Arabidopsis thaliana: one gene and its partner. The protein of the gene in region 1 interacts with the protein of each later gene in a pairwise test. Each region holds a gene or a part of one and is shown in the gene's direction. Other genes may lie near its edges.

Region 1 (7,928 bases):
TAACAAGAAAATATGTGTTTATTGTTTGGTTTTTCCATCTTCGTTACTGACTTATTGTATTGGTTTTACATTCAAAAAAAAAAAAAAAAATGGTTATTTTTGTGTAACACTTCCTCTCTCTATATACAATGTTGTCTTTTGGATTAATTCCCCACACCATATAAGGTTTCTCGTGGGTTGTCTAATTCGGTTGAGTTTGGTTGATCAGACTGCACCCGTTTCTCATTCTATCTTATGGCGATATATACGATTATGGTCATATGACGTAATTTGGATATTATAAATAGATGCATGATGTGACATATATTGCTGATGCTAGTACGATTATCAAGTATGAATTACAAATATTCTAGCTAATATAACTTATCAATAGTTGTATTGATATGGTTATTAATATTGTTAAAATTTCAACTAAATGAAAAATAAAAAGACGTAGGTTAGATTAATTATGTTTTATTGGTGAGAAACAAATACGTGCTTAGTGAAATGGACGTTGACTTTTGTCGGCAATATTCATATTTCAACCATTTTTCTCCCAACAAGACAATGAGAGTTTCTAGAGGTTGTGAGTGGCCAAGTTATTTGCCGTTAAATCAACCATCCGACAAAGCTCCGGATACAAACTCTTCCTAATGGTTGCATACACCTCACCATTCCATTTCTTAGCGGCCAAACTTTCTCCAAGGCTCACTGTAGCCTCCACCACACCTTCCGCACTATCATGCGCCGCTGAGTCCACGATCCCGAGAGCCACCGCTTCTTCTCCTTTGAGCTTCTTCCCGCTCAGTAACAGCTCCCTTCTCGCGATACCTGACCCAACCTTAGCCACGACCAACGCCGAGAAGTAGTCCGGCACCGGTAGCCCGATGTCCACCTCGCTCATATATAGAACCCCACGGTCTTTCCTCATGAAAACGTAGTCGTGGCTCAGCGCAAACATCAGCCCCGAGGCTGCCGCGTGGCCGTTCAAGGCGGCGATCGTCGGCATTGGAAGATCGAGGAGGGCGGCTAACACCGGTTTAAAGGATTTGACCATTTGGTGCATCCGTTTTATAGCACCGTGTCCAGCGGATTGAGCCCACGCGAGGTCAAAGCCATTGGAGAAGAACTTTCCGTGACCGGTAGTGATGAGGACGGATCCTTTTGTGGATTGAGACTTTGCTTGTTCAAGAAGCGAGAGAACAGAGGCGATCGTGTCGGGGTGGAATCTGTGCTCGTCTTCGCCGGTTAGGGTTAGGAGAAAGAGATCGCCGCGCTTCTCTAACGTACACATGGTGCGTACGTTAAGGACTTACTGATTTAGGATGGTACAAGAATAAGGAAAGAGTTAGTAGAAAACTGTGATATAGAAGTGAGTGTTGAGTAATTAATAGAAGGGAACCCAACTGTATATTTATTAGACGTGCTTTGCCACCGAAGTCTTTAAATTGGGTAATCTTCCCAACCATTTTGGTGTCAATGTTATTAAATGCAGACGAGACAAATGTGTATGAATGAATGTGTGACTTTCTTGCTGAAAATGATAATTGTAACTGTTTGTCCTTGGACGTAATTACCATTTTGTTCTTTCGCAGCTATTGGCTAAATCAATTTTGGTTTCCTTGTCTCCACTTGATTAATATTAACAACCTTTTTTTAGTGCTTACACACTTACAACTGTTCGTATGATTTTTTAGATATCTTGTCATGGCTTTTGAATCTATGAACTTTATTTTTGAAGCATGATTGATTGAGATCTCTGCTTTAGCATTACTCATGGACACATTCCATAAGAGACCGACATGAGTAGTTAAATTAGTTCACTAACTCTTTAAGTTGTGCAAACAACATTAGTTAGGTTAATATTAGTCCGCCAACTCTTTAATTTATTAAATACACAAGCTACATAGAAAAGAACAGTGTCTTTAGATCCATACTTGACCAGCCGGTCTAACCGATAAAACTGTTAACTAGACATATAACAATCATTATTTTACAAGATCCTATAATTCAAATACATATTCAAATATTTATTTAATATGCAAAGATTTTTATTTTATACCGAATAAATACTAAGATTTATCTTGTTTATTGACTTTTATTTTTAAAAAATTTTATACCGTATTTATGTCCGATCAGAGCCGTCCATGAACGCAATAGGACCAAATTTATGCTTGCGGCCTCAATTACTACAAATAAAATATTGACCTAATTTTTTTATAACTTTCAGTAAAAACGTTGATTATTTGATTCTTAGATACCTATGGTCGTCAAAAGTTTGAGTCCATCTACCTTCATTTACCTTGTTATTTTTTCATTTTCACTCATTAAAATAGGTCTAAATTTTGTTCTTTGCTTGCAATCTATTAAATACTAGAGACGGCTCTGTGTTCGATTAATGACACCACGATGGGACTTATAATACAAATCAGTATACTCATATATTACAAGATCATGTTAACTTTCTTACTATTTATATTTTGGTTAGCAACATGCAATATGCGGGTTTGAATAAGGCCATAAGGGTGATGACACACTGACAACACTAACACAAACCATTGGATTACATTTTTTTGTTCGTGTAGAAGTTAATCAGGCGGCTAGTTGACTTGACTTGGCCTGAAAAATGCAAAAACCTCACATATTTAAGCACATCGTGACATGGTCCGATTTTTGCTTTCTTTTGTTTTGTGGCTTAGATTGTAAAGCTCTGTCCGCACTAGACTCAACTTACATATTCATATTCATATTCACCTCTGGTCCATATATATTATAAAAGTCCAATAGAACATGTTCACGAGAATCTGTATAGGTAAACCTCATCCACCATTTAACATTTCATGAACATGTTTGACTTCCATTAACAAGATCGATGTCTTTGTAATTTAATATTAAAAAGAACTTTAACATAAAAACAAGCATGGAAAATTCAAAAAGAATTGGTCAAAGAGTATTGCCAAAACAAAAATGTAAAGAAACGGGAAAAGGGAAGATAAAGCAGCTAATTTTCTTTCTCCAACTCTGACCAATGACCATATCCAAGCGTGTATGTAATGTACCTAGTCAACATGTTACAAGTCGTGGCCCTCCTCACCTTATTATATATGTCATCTACATAAACATCAGACATCACACACCAACATCATTATTATGTTCTTTGATACAAAAGTACTCAATTATCCTACAATTCACAAATCTATCTCCATGGCGTCCACGATGCAAAGAACAAGCAGCTCCGCGGCCAGTAACGAGAGGCAACTTAGCCAGCTACAGAGACGAGCTCCGTCTTTAATGATCAAACCAACGTCTTTTAGTAACTGGAACGTGGCGATCCCTCTCCTTTCACCGCTCGCTCCTTCTCTAACATCATCCTTCGACCAATCACATGTTCCTCCGCCGCAGAACAAGACTGAGATACCAGTGGAAGAAGAGGTGAAGAAGACACCAGTTTTCAAGAAATGGCAACATCCCGCGTCGCCGTTCTGCTACGAGCCAACAACGTTTGTCCCACCGTTCATCCAGGTTTAGAACGGTTCATCAAAATTTTGTAGATTTGATGACTCAGCTACCAGCCCCGTGTGAATTTTGTTCCTGTGATATTACACGCGGTTAACTATTTTTCACGTTTTTGTATCAGTTTTATCCTCTAAGAGATAATATTATTCACTAACAAAGTATTAATTCAAGTTCTAAATGGGTAAAAAAAAATGCATAAAACACATGAAACAAAATTATGGGAAAAACATGGAGAAAATAGTTGCATGAATTCTTTAAATAAATTGTCAAATTAACCCATCATACATCTAGGGTTGGACTTTTCTTTAAAGTTCATTTCTTCAAAGTGTTCACTTTTAACAAATAAAAAAACTAACTTCATGGATTCAATATGGGCCGAACTAAAGCCCAGTAAGCCCAATTCAATTTAATTCTATTTTCTTCTTCTTCTTCTAGGGACTTGTAGTACAGTAAGAACTTTCGTACGTTTCTCGCAAACAAAACACGAAAACTTACGCTTCTGGAATTGAATCCAAATCGAGAATTTCCTTTACAATGCTCTAAATTCGTCTGTTATGTTGAATCCTTCGTAAGAGAGTAGAATCGAAGACGAATCAAATGAACTTTCGAAGGTTTGATCTATTGATCTCTTCCTCTGCATTCGAATCCTGTTTTTATGTAGATTCATCAATGTTTAACAAATGATATTGATTCTGCTCTCGATCGAATTTGATCTAGATCTCTTCACAATCTCCAGATTCACTCTTTCTGAAATCTTAGTTTTTTGAATCACCGACATTCGAATTCCTGATTCTGAGTCATTGACCTAATTCTAGAGTTCTAATTACAGTTTTCCAGATTTTGAATTGAGTGTATCCAACTAGAATTGGAGAAAATTGGATCTGATTAAGAACCAATGGTTTTGATTTCTGTAGGGAGAATCGTGCTTCGAGAACGTCTCTCTTTGATGGCCTTGATGGACTTGAAGAAGGTCGCTTGAGAGCTTCTTCTTCGTATGCTCATGACGAACGTGATAATGATGAAGCTTTGGAAAATCTTCAGGACAGAGTTTCGTTTCTCAAGAGAGTATGTTTCTTTCATCTATATAACTAAAGAATCAAAATATCAACACAAGCATAAACATTAGGATTAAGAATTGTGATTCTTTATTGTGAAATGGATGGTGCTACTGATCCTTATTGTTTGAGAAAGAACAGTCCCTTAAGCACTGCTAAGTCGAGACCCTAAATGTATCTTTCGAGCATCGAACGATGATCTAATGCTTTCGAAAAGTCTAGATATAAAGAAATTGAACTTAGTTTTTAGTTCCTAGATATGTATTGAAATTGTAGATTAAGAACATTCTCTCCAGCATTGCTATCACTAGACCCTGTATAAGTCTTTCGGACTCAACGACAAGGATCGAGCTATGATGTAATGCCTTAGAAAAGTCTAGTTATGAAAACAATGCCTTTTTTGTTTTCACTCTTGTCAAATCTAGTTTGCAATAACGCTTGCCTGAGATGTAAGTTGGTAATAATATCTTATCAGGTGACTGGAGACATACATGAAGAAGTTGAGAATCATAACCGCTTGCTTGACAAAGTGGTAAGCTGAAAGTTTGATTTCATCTGTTTCAGTTTGTAGATCTCTATCACATGCTTTTCTTCTAAGCTATTTGTTGTTGTATCTCTAGGGGAACAAAATGGACTCCGCGAGGGGGATAATGTCGGGAACGATCAACCGCTTCAAGTTGGTATGTAAATAAGATTTCGTACCTTTTATATATGCATCACCCCTTTTGTTTTTCGCTATCAAAACTTATATCTGAATAAAACTCGATTTTAACACGACAGGTCTTTGAGAAGAAGTCTAATCGAAAAAGTTGCAAACTCATAGCTTATTTTGTGCTCCTGTTCTTGATCATGTATTACCTTATTAGGTAAAATACACTTCTTCTTATAGTTATCAAAACACTTGACTTTTCTTAGGGACTGGTTCAAGTCCTTGTTCTTTGACTCGAACACTGACAATCTTTCGGATTTTGCAGGCTATTAAACTACATCAAAGGGTAAATTTGGATACAAGAAGAAAGTAGAGTGTTAAATGAATAGTTTCGTTTGGGACTTCCATTTTTGGATTTCTCCTGATGAATGAATGATTCAGACATAGTAAACAAGTCAAGGGACCCTATTGAAACCCTATTGAAACCCTATTGAAACAAGACAAAGAAAGAGATTGTGAAGAGACTAGTGAACCAACCGAAAGAAAAAATGTTTGATAGAGACTTGTTTGTCACAAGCAAAATCATCTCATGTCATTTCATGTAATGTAGCAAAAGCTTCTTTATCATTTGTCAACTATTTGATCTTGGGTTCATGTTAGCAGTTTTGTCTACAAAAAGCTTAATTGATTGATTGATAAGCTTAATTATTAGCTTTCTGTGAAAAAAAGTTTAGCACTTTGTAATAAAAACAAGATAACTTGGCGTCTTGTTTCCAAAAATTTCCAATTTTCAGAATTTTAAGGCGCAAATACCGTCCTGTATATTGACATTTTGCTAAAGATCCAAATACGTAACAACATGAGAAATATCATTTTTGAACGACTCGCAACAATTCCACAAGTTGACAGGACACTACTATGCAGAAGAGTTTGATTTTTTTTCCACTTTAGGTAACAAGTTGACAATAATCGACAAGTTCATTTTTGGTTTGGTAATAGACAACAAGTTGACATGTACATTTCCAAATGGTTCGGTTTCTAGGTCAAATCATCTTAACAATTATGTAAACTATAGTCTTAAATGTTGAATTTACGAGTGAATAACAGGTTGCTATGCTAAATAGTAAATTTCTTGAAACTACTGTTTAGATAAATAGTCAAATAACCATGAGTTTTAATATAGCTACTAGAGGATAACATTTGAGTTCTGGCACAATATATAGAAAAAAAGTAAAAAAAAAAAAATGTTACCTTATTAAATCGGGAGTAGTTTTTCAATTTCTTCTGATCTTTTAGTATATGCTAAAATACCATGTTAGTAAATATGAATGTGATTTTTGTAAAATAAATATATTATAACACAACAACAGATGTTATGCTACATATATTAAACAGGGTGCTAGATTATAAACAAAAGTGTTTTGGATTCACATGAAAAATATGTGTAATTATTTGAAGAAGTTAGATATATAGATCATTCAAAAAATAGTAAGCTACATGGTTATCTAATATACTGTTGGTAGTGAATCCATCAACCTAATCGTGACATATATACAATGTACAATCGAAATCGTTTCTAAGAAAGCCGACGAAATACTCAGCCTTTAGAAAGACTAGTATACGACATGTCCTACCACCCTAATTACTAAGAGAAAAAGATTCATGATGCTGCGGGAAATGACTTGCTTTCTTCAATTAACTCTTCATTCGAGCTTTGGTTGCTCTAGCTCACAAATTATCGTCGTAGTTAATTGAATATTTACAAGGAGCTGACTAAAAAATTAAATGTACATGCACATACATTGGAGCACGCCCACCATGGCTATGCTAAGCATGCTCTCTTAGCAGAAGTGACACCTCTCAGAAGCTATTGGGCCATAACAGAGTTATGACACGGGTCATATCCGTCAAAAGCACATTGCTTCTAGAATGCGAGGTATGATTGCTAAAAACACGATCGACAAGGAACTCAAGAACATCAACTTGCATATTGAACCTACATACATGCCGTATATAGGCATGTGCGAGGAGTATTAAGGATATAGGACTGGTTAACTTCGGTTATCACTGGTTTGGTTGAATGTGGTTTACTAACCACAATAATCTTATGTATATAAGTTTAATCTCGATTACTTTGTTAGTTAAGTTGGTTGTAACAACACTTTAAGCTGAATAAGAAAAGTTGTTATCTTCTTCTTCGTCTCTCTTCTCCGATCTTGAATCTCCGATGTATCGGATTTTATCATGGTATCAGAGCACAATATATTGATTCCGCGTTTGTTGTGTTCATCGGGAGAGAGTTTCATTTTCGATTTCTTCTTTTGATTCTTTCGTTCGCTTATGCCATTCGTTATTTTTCCGATTCACCGGAGTATTTTTCATTCTGTTTCTTTTACTTCCTTCAATTGACCTTTAGCGTGAGCGAATCTCGTTTTCTATACATCAAATTCGTCTCGCTTTCTTTGTAATTTTTCATTCTTACTCTGAGAATGGGATCTTATGTACCTCCACCTGCGAATCCGGTGACTCGTCCTCCGATCAACAATGGTGATCAAATTCGATATCCAGTAGATCAATATGAGAATCCGTACTATCTTCATAGTGCAGATCACGCTGGATTGATTCTTGTGTCAGATCGACTTACGACAGCTTCAGATTTTCATTCATGGCGTCGATCGATCTTGATGGCTTTGAATGTCAGAAACAAATTGGGATTTATAAACGGTACG
Region 2 (7,658 bases), on another chromosome or scaffold:
ATTGTATTGTATCCTTCTTCCCACAGAACAAGGAAGACATTTGTGTCCTCCACCTTTATTCACATTTGTAACTGCTAGACGCTACTAGAACCCTTGCCCTACACGCTTTCCACGTGGCATCCTCTCGTCCCAGCGAAATCTCCTTGATATTATTTTTTTATTTCCTTATAAAGAACAGAATCTCTTCTTATCCTTTTACCTCAAAGAAAACATCGAAATCTTAGAGAAGAAGAAAAGAAAAAGAAGAGAAATGACAGAGAAGAAAGAGATGGAAGTGGTGAAAGGGCTCAACGTGGAGAGATACATGGGCCGTTGGTACGAGATTGCTTCTTTCCCATCAAGGTTTCAGCCAAAGAACGGCGTCGACACTCGCGCCACCTACACCCTTAACCCCGACGGTACCATACACGTCTTGAACGAAACGTGGAGCAACGGGAAGAGGGGTTTTATCGAAGGCAGCGCCTATAAGGCCGATCCTAAAAGCGACGAAGCCAAGCTCAAAGTCAAGTTCTATGTCCCTCCTTTCCTCCCAATCATTCCCGTCACCGGAGACTACTGGGTGCTCTACATCGATCCTGACTACCAGCACGCTCTCATTGGCCAGCCTTCCAGGAGTTATCTCTGGGTTGGTACTCTTTTTTTTTTCTCTTTAACGAATAATCGAAATTGATCCCAAAAATGATTGACTCTGTATATGTGGGTGGTGTAGATATTGAGCAGGACGGCGCAAATGGAGGAAGAGACGTATAAGCAGCTGGTGGAGAAGGCAGTGGAGGAAGGTTATGACATCAGCAAGCTTCACAAGACTCCTCAGAGTGACACACCACCTGAGTCCAACACTGCCCCTGAAGACTCCAAGGGCGTTTGGTGGTTCAAATCTCTCTTCGGCAAATAGATTACACGGCACACAAAGACTTTGTTTCACCTCTTTGATCCTTTTGTCTGTGTAATATACTACCCCCTTTGTCTACTCTAGTTATCTTCCATCATCTGCTTTTGTCTATTTACGACATCTTCATCTAGTTATGCAAAGTCGTCTCTTTTACCATAAGGAAGCGCACACAAATTCAATCAGATCAAATCTGGGAAAGACAATTCAAATCTTGCAGAAGTTGACATTATGTATTTGGATAAACACACCACACGACTCGAGACTTATGGAATCAAAATAATGCATGCAAACTACAGACGGAATTATATGTATAGATAAGACGATAGAAAAAACAGTCTCCCCCCAGCAAAAGTTTGGTTGACTATATACCCAGCAGGACTTCCAGCTCACAGAATAGTACAGCATGAATTTGTTTTCTTCGCTTGCTTGTAAAACATCTGTTCCAACCAATACAACCAAATCAGATTTTCATGTTGGAAGTAAACATGGTTTACCTAATCTAAATAACGAAGAATATCTTGAGATTCCAGAGGATATGACTAATACATATGTTCCTCCCCATGGTCAGATGATATAGCAAAAAACACTATGATTCTTCGTAGCAAACCTAATAATTCCAAAATCCAACTGTATAGTTCAAACTGCACTCAAATGTCTGCAGGCTGAAGCAGAAAGCTTTTTCAAAGAAGGTATTCTAAATCCACATTCTTCCTCTATTTATCTACCCCAACAATAACATGCAATAGTTCCTCTATCAATCAACAACACTTATAAGCCTGCTAAATCAACAACCCTTTCTAACGTGTTCACCAACTATGCTCAGAGATCGAGACAGGGAAAAAAGGAAACTAAATCTATAAGAATTTCTAGAATGTGACTTTAGAATGTTACCTGTGATGCCATGCTCAAATCTGAGCTCTTCTCCACTAGGCTGTCCAGCTTCTCACCACGGGCTAGAACACTATCAATGGTTTTATGCTACAATACAGAACAAAAAATCAGTCTTACGGAGACAGGGACATCCATCATAACTACCAAGACTTTCTTCTTGTTTTGGTGTTTTTCAGAAGAAAGTAAACTCACCGACAGAACAGCATTTATGTATAATTGGCAAGTATACTGAAACTTAGAAAAGGAAGTACCGCTTATGTATAAGGGTCTACAAGAAAGGACCGGAGACAGCACTTACAAGGATAATCTTTGTCTCATCCAACTCCCTCTGGATTTTCAACAGCTTATCAGCCTCTGCTGGGTCCTGAAGATTACAAATACGGGACAATCCCAAAATCAATTTAAGATCAAATCACTCAAAATCCAACATGGTCATAAAACAATGGGGGCTACTAAAATTAATTCATGAAGAATGAATCATTCGATTGGATTCTAATGTCCACCTAACTGAGCTTAATATAACTACAGTTTTAACAAAATTCACAGTAAAAGAGCGAATACAGTTGCACAAGTGAAGAACCTGAAATTTGTTTAAAGCTTCGGTTAAGTATGGCCAAGGCTGATTGGAGTCTTCTTTTGCAGACCTCCATGACTCACCAAAACTCTTCTGGTACTCATCTAGGACCTGAGACAAAATTAAATGTCAAGCAACCCAAATTACAGGAAAACTTACGAATGATGCATTGAGAACCACTTTCAACATAATGATATTACCTGATTGAGAAGAGAGAAAGCACTTCGAACAGGGTAATGATCGTCCATGAAACCCACCGCGCAAAGGCCATTTCTATTGTAAGCGTGAACCTTGTACTCTAAACCAAAAACAAAATAAAAACACGAACCCTAATTATCCCAAATTCGAGGACTAGAACAATAAGATAGAATCGCAAGAAATTAAAGCCGGGGCATAGTCCAGGAAGATCTAGAATCAGAAACGGTGCACATCCTAAATCATAAAAGTTTCAAAATCGAAAAGCCGATCCGAATTTAGAAATCGAATAAAAATCAAAGAGGAAAGGAGATTGCATTAGATCCGGGAGAAAGAAGATTTGAAAACAATCGATCTAGAGAGGTAGAAGAAGAAGGAGAAGAACCTTCGTGTTGAACAGACTGGCGTTGGGAAGGAGGGGTTCGGCTAGCGACAGTGCGACCGACAAAGACGACGAACTCCTTGACGCTAGATCGCTGGAAATAACCGAAGTGAGAGACGTCCGAAGCGTTGGAGAGGATGACGGGATCAGAAGCTTCGGGAGCGCACTTGAGAACGAGCAAGGCGGTGATCTTCATAGCTGCGGTGGATCCAAGGTTGCGTGAGAAGGAAGCGAGGAGGAGGAAGAGAAGAGGCTTTGGACCTGGATTCCTTACTCGGAGATGCTAAAGGCAAAACAAGTTTTGAGGTGTCGAACCAAACGCAGACGCCTTCTCATTAACATTGAATAATGAATATATACCCTCTTTTTCTTATTCGCTATGTTGAAGTAAAAATTAAAAACCTTTGGTTCAATTCAATTTTATGTGGGCAGTCTCGGTTCGGTTTAGCATATATTGATGCAGAATTGGACCGGAATCAAAGATTTTTCCATCACATAGAATTGGATTTTTAAGAATTTTAAGTCTAGGCAAAAACTGAAACCAAAGAATATTTTAATTTTTGCCAATCGAGTTTTCTTATTAACGGAATATTGGTTTGGTTTAGATCGGACAACTTGGTTTGGTCCGAATGCCAAACTCTAATATTGTCATTTTAACTACATACATGTATGACAAATGAATATAGTACAAAGTCCAAAACTGAGGGGTGTTACACCCATTTGTGCAAAGAAGATGTAAGAAAGCATCAAAAAAAGAAAAAGCGGTTAAGAAGGGAATGGTGGAGAAGAAGAGATAAAAATAGAAAGGAGTAAATGGCCATAAATGGAGGATATGAGAGCAAGTTACTTTTTTTTACCATTAATTAACCTTGTTTGACCCATCTCCTCTTTCTCTTCTTTTTCCTTTCCTCTAACTAAACGAGGAAAACAAGCAGGAGAGGGGATTCATGTTCTTTTCTCGCTGTAAGATCTCTCTTTCACAATTTTCTTAAATGTGACAATTCTGTTTTTGTTACATGTATCCTGACTTTGCTTTTCCATTGGGGTACGTACGTTACACACAAATGCAGGATCAATCAGATAGAGATGCTGAGGTTTTTCATTCTTTTCTCCCTTTTCTTACACTCTTCTGTTGCGGCACCCAAGACTCCTGCTGCTGCCGCAGCTGTTCCTGCCAAGAAATGGCTTACCCTTAACGGTAAGCATCCTTTTACAGAGTATGCCCATATTGCATACTACCATGTTTTTTTTTTTGTTGTTGTTTAATGTTAAGACTTAAGATACCATGTTGTTTGTTTGTTTCTAAGAATCCGTACCTGTCTTTTGTCTTCCAGGACAAGAGCCTGCCGTTGTGGCCAGAGGGGGCTTCTCGGGTCTTTTCCCTGAGTCAAGCATCTCTGCAAACGACTTGGCTATTGGCACCAGCTCGCCTGGCTTCACAATGTTGTGCAACCTTCAGATGACTAAGGACGGTGTGGGCCTTTGCTTGTCAGATATCAGACTTGACAATGCAACCACCATCTCCTCGGTCTTCCCCAAAGCCCAGAAGACCTACAAGGTCAACGGTCAGGACCTCAAGGGCTGGTTTGTCATTGATTACGATGCCGACACCATATTCAACAAAGTCACTCGTATGTCTTCTTCTCTTTCATTTCCTCCCTTCAATGCTCACCACCACCACCACACATTTTCATGTTTTGTATTATTGAGCAGTGGTCCAGAACATCTTCTCTCGGCCTAGCATCTTCGACGGCCAAATGTCGGTTTCTGCAGTGGAGGATGTCCTTGGAACCAAGCCTCCCAAGTTCTGGTTGAGCGTTCAGGTATGTTTTCTTCTCTTTGAGAACATGATTAACCAACATATGGAGCTTTTTTGTTGATTCATCAAAACAACAAACAATGCAAATGTGCAGTACGATGCCTTCTACATGGAACACAAGCTGAGCCCAGCCGAGTACCTGAGAAGCTTGCGATTCCGCGGCATTAATGTCATCTCATCTCCAGAGATTGGTTTCTTGAAGAGCATCGGGATGGACGCGGGCAGGGCCAAGACAAAGCTCATATTTGAGTTCAAAGACCCCGAGGCAGTTGAGCCCACCACCAACAAGAAGTACAGCGAGATTCAGCAGAACCTCGCAGCCATCAAGGCCTTTGCTTCAGGCGTTCTTGTGCCCAAAGACTACATTTGGCCCATTGACTCAGCTAAGTACCTTAAGCCCGCCACCACTTTTGTGGCTGATGCTCACAAAGCCGGTCTAGAGGTCTATGCTTCAGGGTTTGCCAACGACTTGCGCACCAGCTTTAACTACAGCTATGATCCCTCTGCTGAGTATCTCCAGTTTGTGGACAATGGCCAGTTCTCTGTTGATGGTGTCATCACCGATTTCCCGCCAACAGCATCACAATCAATCAGTGAGATGACTTGCTATATATGTTTCCTCAGATAGCTGATTATTAAGAAGAAGCTAAAGCGTCTGTTTTCTTGCAGCTTGCTTTTCTCACCAAAACGGCAATCTCCCCAAAGCAGGGCATGCATTGGTTATAACTCACAATGGAGCAAGCGGAGACTATCCAGGCTGCACTGATCTGGCTTACCAGAAAGCAATCGACGATGGAGCAGACATAATTGACTGCTCTGTTCAGATGTCCAAAGACGGAATCGCTTTCTGCCATGATGCTGCAGACCTCTCAGCAAGTACCACCGCCAGGACTACTTTCATGTCCCGAGCCACCAGCGTTCCTGAGATCCAGCCTACCAACGGAATCTTCTCTTTTGATCTTACATGGGCCGAGATCCAGTCTGTGAAGCGTAAGAAACTGATTTCTTTTCTATAGATTTCTTAAACTAATCTTATTCTCAACTAAGTCACTGAGCATTGGGATATCTTTGTCTTCAGCACAAATAGAAAACCCCTTCACTGCCACGGGCTTCCAGAGAAACCCCGCAAACAAGAACGCCGGGAAGTTCACGACTCTTGCGGACTTCCTTGAGCTCGGCAAAGCAAAGGCAGTCACCGGAGTTTTAATCAACATTCAGGCAAGCCATTTAACTTCCAAATGCTCCTTGACTAACACAAGGAAGCTCCACTAACACTGTTTTTGTTGACAGAATGCTGCTTATTTAGCCTCGAAGAAAGGCTTAGGAGTCGTAGACGTAGTCAAGTCTGCTCTTACAAATTCCACACTCGACAAGCAATCAACCCAGAAGGTTTTGATTCAGTCGGATGACAGTTCAGTTCTATCTAGTTTCGAGGCTGTCCCTCCTTACACAAGAGTCTTGAGTATCGACAAGGAGATCGGAGATGCTCCTAAGACATCCATCGAAGAAATCAAGAAGCATGCAGATGCTGTCAATCTCTTGAGAACTTCCCTCATCACCGTCTCCCAAAGCTTTGCCACGGGGAAAACTAATGTGGTAGAGGAAATGCACAAAGCGAATATCTCTGTATACGTCTCGGTGCTAAGAAATGAGTACATCGCCATAGCGTTCGACTACTTCTCTGATCCTACGATAGAGCTTGCAACATTCATTGCAGGGAGAGGCGTTGATGGAGTCATCACGGAGTTCCCTGCCACCGCTACCAGATACCTAAGTAAGTTTAAACTTCTACAAAAAAACAAAAAACAAAAACATTACCAAGATAAGGCTGATCAATTATATTTGATGCAAATGCAGGGAGTCCATGTTCAGATTTGAACAAAGACCAGCCCTATGCCATCTTACCTGCAGATGCTGGAGCTCTACTCACCGTGGCAGACAAGGAAGCACAACTACCAGCTATTCCCCCAAACCCACCTCTTGATGCCAAAGACGTGATTGATCCGCCTCTGCCTCCAGTTGCAAAGTTGGCCTCCAATGGAACTGAAGGTGGTCCGCCACAAACTCCTCCTCGTTCAGGCACCGTTGCCATTGCTGCTAATCTCAGCCTTTCCTTGCTGGCAATGATGGCTTTGGGACTCCTTTATACAGCCTAAAGAGATTGATCACACCATATAACCTCATATAGGTTGTAACATGTTTGCCCTCAGCGTTTTCAAACTGACACAACTTGAGTTATCTATGTTTTACTCATGTTAACCAAAATATGCATCAAACAGTGATTTGTTGTTATAGATCAAAAGCTCTACAGAAACTTTCTTTGTTGTCATAGGAATGTTTTTTTCGGTAAAGATTTTGAGTCTTGATAATCTTTCATATTTTATTTACGATCCTTCGTTACCACAGTCTCTACTTTCATAGTTGTTGCTTTCTGATAACTCACATTGTTAACACTAATGATCAAGACCAAAGGCCGAGTACAAATTTAAAATAGTAACAAAATTACTACAGTATATAATACAGTGCTGTCAAGTATTTTTAAAATATTCTCGCTCTCTCCGGAGGCGCTAAGTATAAGAACAAAACTAAAAGACCAATAATCTTTGACAAAAGTTACATCAACTACTACAAGAGTATTCTCTCAGAGTTATCCTTATGCGTATTCCCTCCCTATTCTTACACAACTTCGCTCATCCCACACATACTCTCCCTAAACACCTAAATAATCTCCATTGAGCTTGATCTTTCATCGCATTACTGCTACAACTGCTCCGTGGGATGGGAGAATCTCATGTCATCCGTTTAAGCATCGTAAGCTACATTGAGAATCAAACTTTCCTCAACCCAGCCAAAGAGGGCCACAGTTCATCGCTTTTTATTTCAACTCCAGTTTATGACTCTCAGC

Evidence for each region. Proteins that work in one complex are often made in the same cells at the same time.
Region 2: the proteins of ATBET12 (region 1) and SVL4 interact in a protein complementation assay, tested with the Arabidopsis thaliana proteins (one large-scale study listed by BioGRID).

The regions. Positions count from the first base shown.
Region 1 is NC_003075.7:8,306,390-8,314,317, forward strand, and holds ATBET12 (Target SNARE coiled-coil domain protein), read left to right. Parts: upstream 1-3,929; 5' UTR 3,930-4,092; coding exon 4,093-4,106; intron 4,107-4,409; coding exon 4,410-4,560; intron 4,561-5,025; coding exon 5,026-5,082; intron 5,083-5,170; coding exon 5,171-5,230; intron 5,231-5,330; coding exon 5,331-5,416; intron 5,417-5,524; coding exon 5,525-5,549; 3' UTR 5,550-5,995; downstream 5,996-7,928. Other genes in the region: HCD1 (3-hydroxyacyl-CoA dehydratase 1), read right to left, coding at 557-1,273; AT4G14450 (uncharacterized protein), read left to right, coding at 3,130-3,507. UniProt on the Arabidopsis thaliana protein: Required for vesicular transport from the ER to the Golgi complex. Functions as a SNARE associated with ER-derived vesicles.
Region 2 is NC_003076.8:23,493,749-23,501,406, reverse strand, and holds SVL4 (SHV3-like 4), read left to right. Parts: upstream 1-3,805; 5' UTR 3,806-3,897; intron 3,898-4,004; 5' UTR 4,005-4,020; coding exon 4,021-4,132; intron 4,133-4,268; coding exon 4,269-4,565; intron 4,566-4,647; coding exon 4,648-4,757; intron 4,758-4,847; coding exon 4,848-5,346; intron 5,347-5,422; coding exon 5,423-5,743; intron 5,744-5,831; coding exon 5,832-5,971; intron 5,972-6,043; coding exon 6,044-6,527; intron 6,528-6,610; coding exon 6,611-6,909; 3' UTR 6,910-7,158; downstream 7,159-7,658. Other genes in the region: TIL (temperature-induced lipocalin), read left to right, coding at 251-625, 710-895; YKT61 (SNARE-like superfamily protein), read right to left, coding at 1,279-1,329, 1,784-1,870, 2,082-2,147, 2,364-2,468, 2,558-2,647, 2,716-2,789, 2,938-3,130; FIP1[V] (FIP1[V]-like protein), read right to left, coding at 7,407-7,463.